Linked DNA regions of Arabidopsis thaliana. The protein of the gene in region 2 interacts with the protein of the main gene of each other region in a pairwise test. Each region holds a gene or a part of one and is shown on either strand. Other genes may lie near its edges.

Region 1 (9,011 bases), on a different chromosome or scaffold from region 2:
CCTCGCAAGAGTGAAGTTCAAAGCAACATATAGCAATGATGGTGAAATGGCTGCAGATTTTCTGAGATTGGTCTGTTCTGTTGTTTGATTGAACCGGTATGCAATTTTTGGTTAAATGCGAGTAAACTGGTTCGTTAGGCGAATTCTCGGACCGTTGGTCTGTCTTGCCTGACCGGTAATGGAACGGCGGCGTTTGGTAATTGATTTAGAGATTCATTCTTGATTTACTTTCCAAAATAATTTCCTCCTGTTTTCCAGATAATGGATTAAAGGAAAAAGGCCTAAAATCATGTGGGGATGTTAATGAAAGCGTTGTTCCCAAGCAGACTTTTTAGAGTGCAATTATAAAAAAAATCTGAAATGAAAAAAGGAAACTATGTAAATGAATAATCAAATATCAATGATACTAATAAAGAGGCGAAAATTAAGAAATGATTGGGAAGAGGAAAGACATGGGTGGATTTTGTTATCCAATACAATAAACAAATGTTATACTTTCACAATTTCACTGCAGAATCTTACTAAAGTGGTTGATTAATAAGTAATAAAGTGGTCGTATTATGATAATATCAAATCTAAGCAGCAATTCTGCGAGGACCATGTGATTGATTACACGGACAAAACTCGTATTACGCAATCTCTTTACTATACTAAAAAGGTAAAAAGTCTTTAAACACAAGTTATCTCATCGTTTACAACATTAACCCCAAAACACAAGTTAATACATAGTTTAGTAATATGAAGTTTGTTTACCATTAGCTTAAATTTTTAGTAGACCTAATTAACACATGGTAAATTGTATGTCTCTAACAAACATTTCAAGGAAAATGATAAAATATACTCCATAATAAAGGTAAAGGAAACATATTTCAATATGCAGAAAAATAAAAAAGGAAAAAGTAAGAATAACATAAGGAAATTATATATATATTATCTGATTGGTTAACATTACACTCAAACATATTAAAACATGATATTATCTAAATTAAAAAGCTAAAAAGAAAATTATTCCCTGAAATATCATTTTTTTAATAATAATTTTTAGAAAACTATGTTTCCATGTACTGTGGGATATAGAGAACACAAAACAATTGTTTGAGGTACACTCACCTCCACATTTTTATATGGGGACACTGTGAGTAAAAATGACAGTTTTTGCTTCGTAAATATGTGTAGGACTCGTTACAAGGCAAATACTTGCTAATTAGTATTTGTGACCTGTTTTGACCCGTACAAGTAATTGAAATTTAGGTTTGATATTTTATTTGCCTGCTCTGTGTGTTAAGGTGTATGAAATTGTTAGTCGGGATCGTTGTACAAATATGATTTATAAATGATGTTTATTTACTGTTGTGGTTTTGAACTCTATTTTGATGAGCTTTCTCCACTGTTTAAGATTATGTTGATTCACTTTCACAAACGCATACAATAATCATTTACATCTTTTTGTTTTGTTTTTAAAGTTAGGTATGAGAGTAAACACGACATCGCCGGATGATTTGCCAGCACAAGCCAATATCATCACATCCAATTTCCAAACTCCTTGCAACATCATGGTCATCACGGGGGACATCGATTTCAAAAGACCGATCCGGTTATTAAGAGCTTGTGGAATTACTATCTTCATGGAAAAACTTCCAAAATGCAAGACTAAACTTATAAACGCTGCTACTGCCAAAGACCCTCCTGGTTACCCTCTTGGTTACACGTTCGAATTCCAAGACATTTTGAGGATCTGATTGAGTTTTTTTGCATTGGTTTAGAGCTTTCTCCACAAATCTCTTATTTATCAGTGTTCGTTTGTTAGATTAAGGTTAAGGATTACTACTATGCTTAGTATTTGAATAAAGAACTACGAATTTAGTATAGTCGACCTTCCAAGAGAAAAATGAAATTTGTGTAAGGCAGCTTAAGTTTTAGTTTTTTTTTTTTTTTTTTGAGAAACCTCTTAATCTTTAGTACCTATAACATATTACATGTCAAATCTTCTGTCTCTTAAAAAATGAAGTATTAAAGGATCCATATCTCAGTATGCAGAAATATAAAAAGGAAAAAAAAGAAAGACTAACATAAGGAGATTATATATATATCATTTGATTGGTTAACATCACAATCAAACATATTAAAACGTGATCTAACCCAAATTGAAAAGCTACAAAAAGAAAATTAAACCGTGAAAATATCCTCCTTTTTCGTCTTAACATTTCCAAGCTGAGACAGTAACAAGTTCTTTCCTCTGCCAACACAAGACAAGTGAAGGCGACGAAGACTGTCTCTTCTCCAAGTGAAACCCTCTCATTGGATTCCTCTGCAACAAATACTCCGCTTGTGTCTCCGCCGTCTGACTCAGCGTCACAGGAGTAAACCCACATTGCCCAAATAAGCTTCTCCACGGCGGTGATCTCTCCATCCAACGGTAACGATTCGTCAACAGTTTCTGTATCGACGGTTGCACACAAAACCTCTCAATACTCGTAGCAGCTTCCGCATTATTCAGATTCCCAGAGTCGAGAGACTCGAGCAGAGATGTGTAGTACTGAAGCGCGTTAATCACACCGTTAGGGAACGGCGCGTCGTTGTTACGGTCGCAGCTTCTGTCTGAGCAAACGACGACGTTTGGTGAGATTTGCTTGAGGAAACGAAGTATCAATGGGAGGTAACCGGAGACCATGGAGCTGATTGGGAGATTCACAGCGATTGCTTCTTTCTCCGATGATCGGAATAAAGACAGTGGCCAATAAGTTGGATTCAAGAGAATCTCCATGTTTAAGAGCTCGATTTCGAAGGAGACACCTGTTTCGCCGGCGAAGCTTCTGAGATTTTCTTCAGTGAATCGGAGCTCGAATTCGTCGGAGACAGTTGAAGGAGAAGCGAAAGCTGTAATCTTTAGCGACGGAGCTGATGAAGATCTGTTTCTTTTTCCGGCGAGCTCTTGAATCAGAGACGCCCATTGACCTCCATAACCGATATCGAAATCGACAATGTGGATCCGATCAAACCCTTCGAATGACTCGAGAATCGTTTGGTTTGCTGTGAAGTTGACGAATTGAAGAAACGGTGACGTTTCTGAGAAAGCTCTGTAAGCTGCGATCCGAAAGATTAGGTTTTGAGGAGGTGAGAGAGACGGTGGTGATAATGATGAGTCTTGAAGGAGAGAGTGAAGAGCTTCTGTTATATACGAAGCTGCTCTGTGGAACGGAGGTTTAGGATTGTTGTTAGTGTCGTCGTTGTTGTTGTTAAGGTTGTGATTGAGCCGCGCCAATATCCCTTGCGCGAGAACGGGATTGTTATCTCCGCCGTTTGTGGTGAGCTCCGCCGCCGCAGAGAATAGCTGGTCGATGATTACCGCTGACTGGTCTTGGTCGTTTTGGTCTTCTCCGGCTATCTTTGGCGGTGTGAGAAACGGGTCGTGAGATTCGTGACCCGGATCCGAGAACGGGAAAACCCACTGGAGGTGTTGAGATCCGGGTTGACCCGAATTGAGCCGTTTCGCAGGAGGAGACGACGGAGGATCCGAGAAGAAACCCGGATTTGGGTTTATTGAAATCTGAAACTTTTCTTCTTCCGGTGCGTTTTGAAAAGGGAAGCCATATCCAAAGAGTGGATTAGGATTATCAATAACCGGGTCGGATCCAGAACCGATGTCGAAACCCACAAACTCCGAACCCGGATCCACTACATCGCCAGCCATGATTAATCTAAAAATACTCTGTTCTTGTCCCGGCGAGCCACCGGAGAGAACACCATCGAGATCCTCGAAACCCATTTGGTCGCATTTCCCATCGGCGCCGGAAAAAGTAGCAGCAGCAGCGCCGCCGCCGCTGGGACCACCGTGAGAAGAAGACAGCGTGGTGGTTGAAGAAGAGACGAAAGGGCTTGGACTTCTAACAGAGTCTAAAACAGACGTCGGCTCCGAGAAACCACCATTGTTGACAACAAAGCAGAGATCTTCTTCTACTCGTCCATGGAGCTTCTCTGGATTAGCCCAGATTTTGTATCCCGGAGAAGAAGAAGAATCTAAGAAACCCAGAACCCCCTTCCCTTGAAATTGCTCAAAGGGCAGGGGCATGACCAATCTTACAGAGTCAGAAAGAGAATTTAAGAGTGAGAACAAAGAAACCCAGAAAAACCCTAGATCTCAGAACTTAAAGAGGAAGACGAAGATGAAAGCTTGAAACTGAAATTGGCGCCCACATTATCTCACACTCGGTATTAATAACAATCTTTCTTCTCGTTGCTTATGTATATTGACTCTGGATGATTCCAACAACATTCCAAAGTGATGATCTTCATAAAAAATGCTCTCTTTTTTTTTTTTTTAAGTAAAGGATTTGGTTTTTGCTGTGTGTGTGGTGCCTTGTGTCTGTAGATTTACTTATCTACATCTGTACTCATTTTATATCCCCTCGTTTCTAACCCTACTCGCACTTACGGCGCGTCACTCTTACTCTCCAAGAGATCATTGATTATATAAGTTTAAGCCATGAAAATCGAAATCAAAGTGTCATTAATCGAATAAATTTAGCCTTAATCATAAATTGACTAAATTACTATGATGACAACATAATAAATAAGGAAAACACTGGATTGAGGAAAAAAAAAACAAGGAAACCAATAAATTTTATGCATATCGACAAAATTACTATTCTACATTTTTCGTAAATTTTGTTCGATTTATAAAATAAACTTGCATCTTGTAAAATAATTTGTTATTTAGTGAAATAGCAATTGGGTGATTTAATATATATGTGCAGTAACATGTTTTATATTAAATAGTATGATAGTAAAAATATACTTCATTATATATGTATAAAAACTAAGTCAAGGGTCAAATGAAAATGAACCAAAAGATTTTTGTTCTTTTTTCTTCAAACCAATAGATTTGTTTACTTAAAGGATGTGTCAAATGTTTGACAAAAAAAAAAGGATGTGTCAAATTTATTTTTGAAATTACAGGTAAAAAACATTTTGAGAGCGAAATCGTAAAAATACTTAAAATAGTCAAAATTATTTACTTATTTATTAAGAATATGGGATCATATAGTGTATAATTCATTAGATCAAACTAAATAAGTAATAGGAGTATGAAGAAAAGAAAGAAAATAAATTGAATTGTCGAAACCCAAAAACCTAAAAGAGTCAGTTATTAGTTGATTGTCTTACAGTAAGTAATTCAATAGTCCAGAACTGTTGAGGCGCGTTAGATAACGATCAATCTGAAAGACAGTACTATTAAAAAAATCAAAAACATATACCGAGGTTTCAGAGCAAAAAGCGAATTTGATACAGATGGCTTTATTGTTAATCATTGTTTTCCATAATTACCCTTGCTTTCTATTAACACACTCTGTTTTTTTTTTTTATCTAACGGTTGAAATTGCATGAACTCTGGAGAAGATCTCATGGCTCTAGTCTAGATTTTTTATAAACTAACTAATAAATGACATATTGACTATAAAATCTTGCATTTGCTAATCAAGTTTAATTTTGAACGACAAGTAGACACGGTCAAAACTAAAATTATGACAAATCTTTAGCCTATGTTAGTTGATGTTTACACGTGTTTGCGATAATCAAATCGTTTTATTCCACCATTCTTTTCTAAAATCATCTATATCATTTCTTCTTCTTTTTTTCACTTCTTTGACAAACTTGAAATACTTAAGTGGCCGTTTATTGGTGGCGGTAATAGAATAGAGGATACCAAAAGGAGATTAAAAAGAAAAGAGGTGGAGCTGGATTGCGAAGACAAGTTGGAACTTTTGGTAGTTTGTGTGTGAATGGAAGGGAGACATGGCTTATGTGATTGCCCTAAACATATTTCTATTTTTTAAGCCAAAATAATATAAAAACAAAAATCTTTGTAATTGGACATTGTAATAATGGGAGACATGTTTTTTTTCCTCCAAGACAAACAAGAAACCTCCATGTGAATTTCCACCACCTTGTAATATGTCTAACAACATGTATTCTATTAAACTAGTATTTCTTTCTGCTTTGTTGTTATATTTTAGGATTAAAAAATGACCAATTTGCGTAATTTAATCAACTCATTCTATACATTCTATAGGTTGATGACTGGCTAGTGGAGGGACACATCGACCGTGTGTTACCTTGCATACATACTCGTGATTCGGTTTCACGGAAATTCATGTAATTTGGTTACAGTGATATAAAACAAGTAAAAAAATTAACTTCGATGTAGAAATATATTAACCCTGTAACCAAATTATCTCAGTTTATGTCAAATGTCATATTTGCAATTCACTTCCACTATGTTTTTAGATTTGCTAATTTCCCAAAATAAACTTAAAGTCCTCAAAATAGACGGTATATAGTCTCCTTTGCTAACCTCGACTCACGGGCAAAGCTTTCTGTTTTCTCTTTATTTAAAGTTTTCAATTTTTATGTTCAGGAATGCTAGTGGGGTTAACTTATGTGAATCATGTCATATCATAATATCTTAATCAAATCACAAACACTAAACAAGGACAATGTAACTTTTTCTTATTCATAACAAAGCATGTCACATTTTGGTTGGTTTATATATTATTAATTAGATCAACTATATATTTAGGAGACACATTACAACACAAACGATAAAAATTTGTCTCGCTTAGCGGATAGATACAGTGACGGCGGAAACAAAAGAAAAAGTAAAGATAGTGATAGATTGTATGAACTTATAATTTGTCAATACAACAACCAACACAACCATGTAGTATTATCTTTAATTGTTTGGTGAAACTATATAAATTATTAGTGTTTGAACCATTGTTAACCTACAAAAAACAATTAGACGAAAAAGTCCTACCGCCGCATGGCACTACTGGTTTTCAATGACTTAATTACTGGGAGAGTTCCTCAAAAGTATATGATAACCATATAGGTTACGTTACGTAAGCTACGAGCCTGGAACTAGTGTGGATATTGTGCTAGAATCTTAATGACTATCATAAATCAGTTTTCAATTCTGTTGACTATTAAAAGTTCAATAAAAAAAAGCTAGTTTTGATCCATCGTTGATTTGAAGTCAAGGATTATGATATACAATCTCTTAAAACTATATTTTAAGTATACGATCTTACAAATTTGAATGATCAACATTCAACAATGTAGATTTTTTGTCCTTAAACTTTAGTTATTGACCTTTTAATACAGAAAAAACTTCTGGTTTAGATATGTCCTGCTGGTTTGATCTCAGCTGAACCACCAAAAAAAAAAAAAACGTTGGGCTGGGTTTCTTATCTTCTATGAAAACAAATATACGGAAGACTTATAATGGGCTTCATAGAGTAATGAGTTATTATTAACTAGTTATGGGCCTTAGTGCATAAATAACCACTACAATTGTATTTGGTAACAACATCACTTAAACATTTCCTTAAATCATGCTAATTTACCTCGATTTTTGGTTTGCATTGATTAAATTAAATTATCAGCTGACGTGTCATTCACTAATTCGATAATCTTTCGGTAAACAAAAAAGGAAAAGGTTACACGAATTGTATATATACACATATAACTGTGACGATCGCAGTCGAAGATTAATTGAATCACACAAAGTCGAATCCAAAGTTTTTGATCTTAACCAAGTCGCATAATCCAGAGAGGTAAGTTTTCTCCGATTTGATTTCGTTTATGCATATAATTTATGTTTGATTTCTACAAGAATATACAGAGATAAGTGTATTACGACTTGGGTAGTAGAAAAATTAGGGTTTTGTGTTGGGATTTGGTAAATTATCGTTTTTCTTTTCTTCTTATTTGGGTTGGTGATTCTGGAAATTTGTTATATATATTCAGGAATCAAAAGAAGATGAGTAACGTCAGCTTCAGGCAGGATCATGATTTCGGTATATAAATCTTCTTCTTCTTTTTTCCAGTAATTTAAGTTAGTATGATTGGTTGATGATTGATTTATATTGCAGAGAAGAGGAAAGCTGAGGCTTTAAGGATCAGAGAGAAGTATTCTGACAGAGTCCCGGTATTCTTACTCTCTTCTTATGTCACTGCCATCGATTTTGTTCTGTTTCCTAGTTTTCCTGATATTGCTCACATAGGAATATACCCTATTTGAGAAGCTCTTGTGAGGCCTGATTGATTGAAATCTTGCAAAAATAACACTTTTTGATAGATAGATGTGGTTCTTGTTGAGAGTTCAATGCATAGTTTCAGAATAAGATGGTTATATTAATGTCTCTCTTTTGTAATAGGTGATTGTGGAGAAGTCAGAGAAAAGTGATATCCCAAACATTGACAAGAAGAAGTATGATCCTCTTTTTCTTTATAATATCAAATCTGATTCTTAACATTGGAGTCTCTCTTGCTTAATTTTCATGTTTTGGATTTTACATTTTACAGATACCTTGTCCCAGCTGATCTAACGGTAGGCCAGTTTGTGTATGTGATTCGTAAGAGAATCCAACTTAGTGCAGAGAAAGCTATCTTCATCTTTGTTGATAATGTTCTTCCTCCCACCGGTACTGTCTCCTCCTCTCAATCTCTACTTAAACAACTCTTTAGTCCTTACATAAACCTGTTGGTTTTTATATTGGAAACTCAATTGCAGGAGCGATGATGTCAACCATTTACGATGAGAATAAGGAAGAAGACGGCTTCTTGTATGTTACCTACAGTGGGGAAAACACTTTTGGATCGTCAATGACTTAATTTGGTGTTCTTGCTTTTAATTGAATGTAAATATTCCATTTTCTTTTCTTGTCCGTGAACTTGCTTAGATGCGGATATGATTATTATGGCTTATGTAGGCACAACCAATCGGTTTGCAAACAAAGTGTTGGTTTTTTTATCCTCTGTTTTTTTCTTTGGTCTATATCTATCTTTCTCTTTCTGTGCCTTGCTCGAGCATCACACACATCATATGTTGCACCTTCACAGACCACACGAGCTACAAGAGCCAGGTACAAAGTGTTAGTTTGGTTTTGGTTTGAGAAATTAGAGTTTTGTCCCGGCAATTCCGGGTCGAGCCCACGGAGGCTGTTGGGCTT
Region 2 (8,525 bases):
CTCTGTTCTCCTGGGAGTTTTTCTAGTTTAAGGAACAGTTCCAGTTCACAGAGATTAGTAAATGCAGAGACCAACTGTGTTACATCTACTGGTGGAAGCATAGGTTCGCATGGAACGTTTATTGTCAAGCCACGGAGACGTTTCAAGACTTTACTTAGTGAAGACACCACCACGAAGTCTGTGTTCTGCGAAGAAAGATTGATAGACAATCTTCTAAGACTTGTCATTGCTAAAAGATCCCTTGGATTGCACTTTCCAACAGGAAAATCCCAGAGTTGCTGCAAGTTTCTTAGAGTACTCAAGTCCAGCTTTGTTTTGGGATCAAGATCTGAAGGCATACACAAATGTCTCAGCCGATGCAGCTTCCATTACACGTTTGGAATATACAGTTGCCCTTTCACGAACAAGTCTAGAGTAATCATCAACTTTAAGTTTCCAATAGATGATGTAAGTTCCTTCACGTTTGTCAATCTCACGCTCAGGTTCCTCAAATGGATGAGATCTCCTACATCGTCTGGCAACTTCCCTCCCTCGATTTGAGCTCCCTCAAGATCTAGAACTCGAAGAAGTTTCATCTTTCTGAAGGAAACCTTACCCAAAAGTGCCCATGAACTTCCTTGATTCTTTATAATTCACACAAGAGATCTAGATCGAGGATTTATGTAGTTCACCTGCGACAGACTCTTGATATGGTGCTCCTCTGCTCCACCATGTAGTTGGACAGAAATTCTACGAGATGTATTGGTCGAAAGAGATATAAAAGCCTCAGCTTCATCTTGATCCCTTGAATCAATAACTTGCACAAAGCTTTCTTGCTTTGCCTTCTGTAAACACACCTCCCTCATGAGGTCATGCATACGGCATGTCATGACTTCCGAAGTTACAATGTCCCTCCTCCCAACCATAACCATGCTTCTCTTTACTAATTCCTCAAGATAATCTTGCCCGACATCTTCCACTGTCGTGCCAGCCTCTGTGTGTTTTACAGGCATAACCATTCCCTCTGCGATGCAATAACTAACTAGTGTTCCCACATGAACCTCATAGTCTTCAGGATAATGAGCAAAGTAGAGGAAACATTGCTTTACATGGGGAGGCAAGTACTCGTAACTCAAGCACAAAACATCTGCAACTAGCATGTTCTTACTTCCATTGCTACTACCTCCATTTGAAACATATGATTTGATGTTCTCGCATACTCTTTGCCACTCGTTCCATGTACTTTTCGTTGCCAGAAGTCCTCCAAGAACTGTTATAGCTAGAGGTAAACCTCCACACCTTACAACTATCTGCTTCCCAATCTCCTCCATTTTCTTGACCAACATTGGCTCTGCATATCAGGTGAATAAGTGTGTGAAGTATGATAGTATATATGCTGCAGAAAGAATAGAGCCAAATGATTACCTATATTTTCTCTTCCAGATAATGAAATTTTCTCCAACAGCTCCCAACTCTCTTCACATGTTAGCAATTGTGGCTCATGAAGCACACCCCTGGGATCAGCATATAAAGCGACTTCCTTGTTCCGAGTAGTGAGGATTATTTCGCTTCCTACAGTAGATACTACTAGCCTATAAAAATGACAAGGATTATAGAACATTAGTTGTATCTTAACACTACTAGTTTACCTGTTTCATGTGGAAAGACGTGTTTCAGACAATCCCAAGCATCTTTGCCCCAGATATCATCAAGCACAATGAGGCATTTATTCCTTTTCAAGAACCGATGCAACTCCTCTCCAAGTTGTTCATCCCTCAAGCTGAGTATTCTCTGATTTTCATCCTTGTAGCTGAGATTCAGAAAAATGTCTTGCCAAACATGTCTCCGTCTACAGTCTTGAGAAACATATACCCAAGCAAATCTATCGAAATGACGCCTCACTTTATGGTGATGGAAAATCTGTTTGGCTAAAGTTGTTTTCCCCAAACCACCCATTCCGCAGATGGACGTGACTCTTAGTTTCTCACCTCCGGAAACTAAATCATTCACCAACTTCTCTAGACTCTGCTCTAACCCAACAAGATTATGCTCAACAACATATGGAAACGATTGCCTCTGTTCTCTTAGACTATCAGACAAACTCAAACCTTCTCTGCCCATAGATTCTTTTATACCAAAATCTAGCATGCTTGCTGCTATCTTAGAAAGCCTGGAGGTGATCTCTCTAATCTCTGAGCCAACACTATGAAGTGAAACCGCTTCGTTCAAGATGCAAGCAAGCCTCCTAAGCACCCTTTTCATCCCTTTTTGTTTCCTTGATTCTGCTTTGAGGAAAAATGCCTCGAGGATATCCTCTGCATCATAAGAAGCTTCTCTAATGCCTGCAACCCAGTTACGCACTCTCTCGCTTTCATGCTGCTTCTCATCTGCATCTTTCAAAAAGCAATTCAAACGCTTCAATTCGTCTTGCAGCTGCTTCACTTGGTCACCTATACCAAATAAGAACAACGGTTCTTCCAAGAGCAACTGTCCTAGCTTCTGCACTGTAACAGAAACAATAGCCTCTGCCATTTCGTGTTCTAGTGACTCTCCCAAATCTCTACCTCCTACACTAGAAAAGAGTCAACTACGCACTACCTTCATGAAACATGACTCCAAGTCAACGCAATCATAACACTCTTTGTCCCTTTCTGAATTATTCAACTCTCAGCATCATGTGAACATAATTAGATGGTACAGCTACCAAACGACTTCTTGAAATGCTCTTTTGTGCTGGTCCATGAAATACCACATCCACATATTCATTCATCAGAATTTGGTGGGAGACATTCAAAAGTCTTTGCTATCTCCTACAACCACACGTTTTCCCTCTTATCTTTACCTGCAGAAGTTACAATAAGGAAAAATGGTCTCTGCCTTGTGGTTCAACAAATGCAATGCACGAAACCCAATAAGAAAAGAAAAAGGAGGCCAGAAAAAGCATCGAGAGAAACTTCTATTTTTTTTATAACCATGAAACATTGCTGATATACGATACATCAAATTTCAATTTCTTAATTTGTTGATAAGAGGGAGAGACAACATTTAACAGACAGCTTTTATTATATTATCGTAGTCTTTCAAATTGGTCTGCAATAAGAAGAAAAGAACATAAATCTCAAAACTCCCTTGTTGAAACATAGGACGCGTACTAAATGATGAGTATGAACAATATACTATGCCTCCTTTTTTTCCCGCATCCGAAGGTTAGAGAAGATGAGCAGATATACAAAAACGTTCTTACATGTACACCTAAGAACTATTGTAGAGCTTGCACTTATTTGTTCCAGCACAAACAAGACACTCGTCAGCATCACCTTCAACATGGCTCAAGCAATGTTGGATTCTGTCATTTACAACGTCCTGCAGAAAGAAATATTAGTAGATTACTGAAAGATCAAGAGCCAAAAGAAGAACAGATCTCTTGTGAAGATTAAACAGCAGAAGATCCCTAATGCATGAGGATGCTCTCATTGGAAGTTCAAGGGAAAAAAGTGGCATTCACTAATGCATGAGGATGCTCTCACATCCCTTAGGTTTAAAGTGCTCGCTCGTTTTGGGGGGAAAATATGCTTTATAACTTACCAGGAGGAGATTATGGGGGCCGAGAGGTGCAGTTATGAGGTATGAGATGCCAGAGAACTCCTTTGCAGCATCAGCCGTCAACGAGGGAATGTCCTGAATCAAATAAGGGTCATGATCTCACTAGGCCATTAATGTACATCCTCCAATAATCCCATAAATAAGAAAAGCTAGAAGCTTCAAGAAAACAAAACAAATTGAGATGAACAAAGCCATACCGTATGCCAATGTCTTCCAGGAAATAGAAAAAACGGGCTCACAACTACACGTTTCGCCCCTTGTTGTACACACAAACTGAATGCATCTTTTATAGATGGCTCAGCCAATTCCTGATGTAAAGTGTAAAAATCAGCAAACAGCAAGCAGAGCTTGAAAGTCATCTAATTTCCTGATATAGAACATATTAAGCTAAATGCAAAAGATGACCAAGAAACGGAAATCAGACTGTATCAAACTCATGGGTATGGTTCTCACTATGCATAAAGGTGAGAACATTAGAAAGAGTTACCATATGAGCAGGCTCTACAATTGGGTAACCAGTTTTTTCTTTGAACATTTTCACAAACTCCTCTGAAATACAGAAACAACAACACAATTACATAAACTCGCACAAGGTAAAGCCGTAAAGGAAGTATACTATACAATAAAGTAAGGACAACAAAGAAAATGAAGAAGGAGAAGGAAGAGAAACAAAGCTATTACCAAGCATAAGATTGGATTCACGGCGACGAGAACCGTGATCAACAATTATAATCCCATCAGCATCACCAATCCCATTTTTGACCAACCCTTCGCTCTCCCCAAAACATGGTGATCCTCTTCTCCTCCTTCCTCGTTGGAGTTGAAATTTCTCAACTTTAAAGGAAACTGGTAATGCCCATGAGCGATTTGTTCGTGTAATTTGACAAGAAGAAGGTGAAACACGATTATTCGCTCTGAGATTACTACAAAAACAAATCGACAAAAAAAAAATCATTCAGAAGAAAGCAACACAACAGAAGAAAGCGATAGAAGGGGTATAGAGGAAAGGAAGATGAACCTTTGGGAGGCGAGGCCTCCGTAAGAGAGGTTCACTAAGAACTGCGACTGAGTCGTCATCTTCGCCGCCAATTGACTGTTAATTTTTTTTTTTTTTTGCCGGCATTGACTGTTAAATTAATTTGTCGGAACGGACTCGATCCCGAAAAATTGAAATCGGGAGAGTGAAGAAAAACATTCATTAATATCTCACCGAACCGGTCGGTCGGACCAGTCAACCCGGGACCCGATTATTATTTCAGGCCGGCTTTGTTTGTTTTTTTAAAATTAAAAGGGGCTTTATCATTAATGGGCCATCCCACAATTGGGCTTTTGACCGAGAACATACAACCAAATAACACGTACAAAAGAACCACTCCTTTTTACATGATGGAGAACACAATAATGTGATAAAATTATGACAGTTCACTGCATGTGACTCTAGTGTGTGACCTCTTAGATGTTTGGATTAAAACCAGAGATTTTTTTTTTTATCGACTTTTTTCAATTAATCAAGTCAAGAGTGATTACAATGTAAGGCTGATACAATGAAAGGTGGAACATAATAGTGATATTGAAACGAACAATTATCTGGTAGCCGATGTTTTGCAAGAAGATCCGCTGGTCCATTGTTTGTTCTTGACACCCATGTGACATCTGCTGCCTCAAATCGTTGTCGCCATTTCATAGCGTCTCTTGTCCAGTTGCAGCAGCCAAAGTTGATCTTTTTGTTGTTCATTAGCTCTACGACTGTAAAAATTAAAATTAAAACCAGAGATTTCTCTCAAAATATCCATTGAAATTCAAATAGAGGATGAAGCCTGAAAATGTCCAATTTTCTTATTAAACAACTAAATGGCTCACTAATTTTTCTATATGTTAATTTAGTTCCAAATATTTAGTACCAAAAATGATGCTACTGATAAAAATAGTTAGAAGTTTTATTTTAAAATAGTACTATGTGAGAATCCGTTCTAGACAATAAATTTATCACTTTAATTTTATAAATAGTTTGATTTGTATAAATATTATATAGTGGTTGTACTTTGTTTCATAATATGTTTTAAACATATCTTGGGATATTATAATTGATTTGTTATTTGAGTGGCCAATCTTTCAATTGTTAGTCCAATGGTGCAAATAGTTGTCTCAAACTAAGAAGTTGAAAGAGTTGAAAAATCATTCATATCATTTTTTACCATTGAGATGAATAAGTTGGAAAAATCATTCAACCAAAATTTTTGGAAAATAAACTAATTACAAAGGAAATTTGTTCAACTTAATTATCTACTATTTCGTAGAGGAATGAGTTGAATAATGTTCAATTTTTTTATTATTCAATTCAAAATTTTCCTATCGTTACAACCCTTTGCAGTTGAAGTGTGTAATTGTTACTCAAACCAGACACAAGTATCTACCATATATCTTGCCTGAGTAGATCTTTGTTGATGACTAGGTTCAATTTTGAATGTCACATTTTATTATGTTATGCCCAATCCAAATTTCTCATAAAGATAAAACAAAGTTTAGATTCTCAGATTACAAGAGAGAGATAAAATAAAATTTGTAAGTTTAAACCAAAACTTAATGAAATCTTTAAATTTTCTAATACCAAAAACACATGTAAACTAACCATTGAGACAAATATATATACCCTTGTAGGTTTGACAACAATTCTTCGCGAGTTCGAGATCTCTGCGAGTGATACCGCTTGGTCGATCCATAAAGTTATTGAGAACCAAATCATCATCTAGTTTGATGAAATCTTCCACTTGTTAGTGACATTCATTGTATTAGGATCAAGCCAAACTAAACCAAATTCTAAAATTTGATGTCCCTCGAACTCCAACAGAATGAAAGTAATCTGGTTTATGCTCATTGTTTTAGATCTAAGCACAAATAGCAACAAACCCAAAAGTAATGAAGGCCAGAGGTGAGTTTATTAATAATGTTTTGTATTATTAAAATTAAACTCTTCAATTTGCGAAAAAATCTATAATACAACATGACAAATTTAAATATTGAAAATCAACTTAAAATTTGTTATTATCTATATGCATATTTCACTAAAGTTAAATCTAAGATAATAGATTTACGGTAATTGTGAACGTGATTTAGCAGTTATACAACATCCAAATAGATTAGGTGAATAAAAGAAGTAAGTACAATTGTAAATTGAAGTTTCACTTTTAAATAATTTGATAAATTAGTGATTACTATGAATTAATAAATTTTTCGGTCTCAAGTTGTCGAGTGTAATATTTAACATAAAATAATAATTTGTTTGAAAATTCTATGTAACTATATGGTCCATCAGTATCATAAATTAATAATTGTATAAACTTATCAATATATATTATTAATTTATAGAAGTTTTACTTTTATTTGACGAAATTCATTTGATTTTGGTCTTTTGAAATAAAATATAGGAAATCGTGAAAGAGACAATCCAGCTTAGTTGTATTGAATTTGCGATGAGTTGATTTCTCGTCATTGGTAATCTTTTACTATTTTAGTATTTTTACGGTTTTAGATGGATTAAAACTTTAATCACTTTATTATTATCGTGAGATTTCATATTTTGTAAAACATGATAATGATTATTTTTAGTTTTACATTTATAAAACTATGTAATCTCTATAAATATTAAATACATTACATAAATTTTAATCAGTTAATCTGTAGTCGAATCCAGAGTTAATGACCCAATAAGTAGTCCGTTTCAGTGTCCATATCATGTTTAAAACCATTACAGAAACTAACTGCTAAGCTAGCATTACATCTTGTTTCAGCTAGCAACATTACATCAAGTAACCATTACAGAAACCATACAATAGTAGTGGTAGTAACTCTTAGCAAAAAAAGATGGTTTACATAGGCTGCTGACCCAAAATAAGATTTGGTAGGCTTAAAGGTCGTGCCTAGATTTTTAATGGGCCCATTTGAAAGTGAAAACAAGATGGGCTAAAAGGTAAGACGCCAAAGCCTAGAGTTCGAAACCTACGACAATCGGTCTCTCTCTCTCTCTCGCGAGTCGCGAGTCGCGAGTTTCTCTCATCTTCTTCTTCCTCCAAGTCTGAACATATTAACATGGAATGAGCAAAACTAATATTGTCCGTATCTGTTAGCTTAAATTAGGTAACGAATCACGAGAATACCTAGAAATTCTTTCTTAATTTTACTTGAATTAGGTGTTTTCATGGAGATTCATTATGCAGCTAAGGTTCATTTTTTGTCATTGATAAACACAGATTTCTGAAATTGGGACTTTTTGGGAAATGGTTTCCTGAAACTGTGACAGCTAGTTCTAGAATCCATGTTGTTCTAGATTGTTGTTGTTTCTTCTTGAGTTTACTCTAGAGCTTCTAGAATCCATCTAGGCATTGGTTTTGGTATTTGTCTTATGCCGTGTATTCTTTCTTTTTTTCTAGATTGTTTTTAATTAAAGAATCTTTTTTGGTTTGCAGTGATCTTGGACGTTGGAACTGAGGAAAGAAACTTGCAATGTATACAAGGACAATAAGAAGGAACCAGAGATGGGGTTTTGTATTGCAGCAAGACAAATGCTTAGTTAGGCCAGTGATTCGTGACCACACCGGTTCCCAATCTTATAGATCCACCACAAGTATACTAACAGATCATTTGAGAAGAAACCATCATTCTCATGGTGCTATTGCCTCTAGAGATTATTTAAGTTATTCTTGGAATAGCCAATTGCGTCGGTTTAGTTCTGAAGGTGATGGAAATAATGCTAGTGAGGACAGCCGTTTCCCTCTGAATAAAGACAAGATGGGAAAAGAGAAGAGCACGGTCGGTGTTGAGCATTTTGATTCTCACGCTCAACTTGGAGTACAAGACCAAATAGAATGGCTCAACAATGAGAAGCGTGCAAGTGAAAGCAGAAAGGAGTCACCTTTTCTTAATAAACGAGAAAGATTGAAGAATGA

Evidence for each region. Proteins that work in one complex are often made in the same cells at the same time.
Region 1: the proteins of SIRB (region 2) and HAM2 interact in a two-hybrid assay, tested with the Arabidopsis thaliana proteins (2 studies listed by BioGRID).

What each region holds. Positions count from the first base shown.
Region 1 is NC_003074.8:22,408,299-22,417,309, forward strand, and holds HAM2 (GRAS family transcription factor), read right to left. Parts: upstream 4,366-9,011; 5' UTR 4,070-4,365; coding exon 2,198-4,069; 3' UTR 1,942-2,197; downstream 1-1,941. Other genes in the region: ATG8G (Ubiquitin-like superfamily protein), read left to right, coding at 7,820-7,856, 7,932-7,987, 8,217-8,269, 8,365-8,483, 8,573-8,673.
Region 2 is NC_003070.9:18,578,221-18,586,745, reverse strand, and holds SIRB (sirohydrochlorin ferrochelatase B), read right to left. Parts: upstream 4,749-8,525; 5' UTR 4,660-4,748; coding exon 4,601-4,659; exon of another isoform or gene 4,538-4,600; coding exon of another isoform or gene 4,506-4,537; coding exon 4,264-4,505; intron 4,132-4,263; coding exon 4,070-4,131; intron 3,891-4,069; coding exon 3,780-3,890; intron 3,658-3,779; coding exon 3,565-3,657; coding exon of another isoform or gene 3,484-3,564; exon of another isoform or gene 3,343-3,483; coding exon 3,232-3,342; 3' UTR 2,914-3,231; downstream 1-2,913. Other genes in the region: AT1G50180 (NB-ARC domain-containing disease resistance protein), read right to left, coding at 1-278, 375-590, 672-1,330, 1,405-1,551, 1,629-2,511; AT1G50160 (ribonuclease H superfamily polynucleotidyl transferase), read right to left, coding at 5,096-5,317; AT1G50140 (P-loop containing nucleoside triphosphate hydrolases superfamily protein), read left to right, coding at 8,083-8,525. UniProt on the Arabidopsis thaliana protein: Chelates iron to the siroheme precursor. Catalyzes the last step of the siroheme biosynthesis.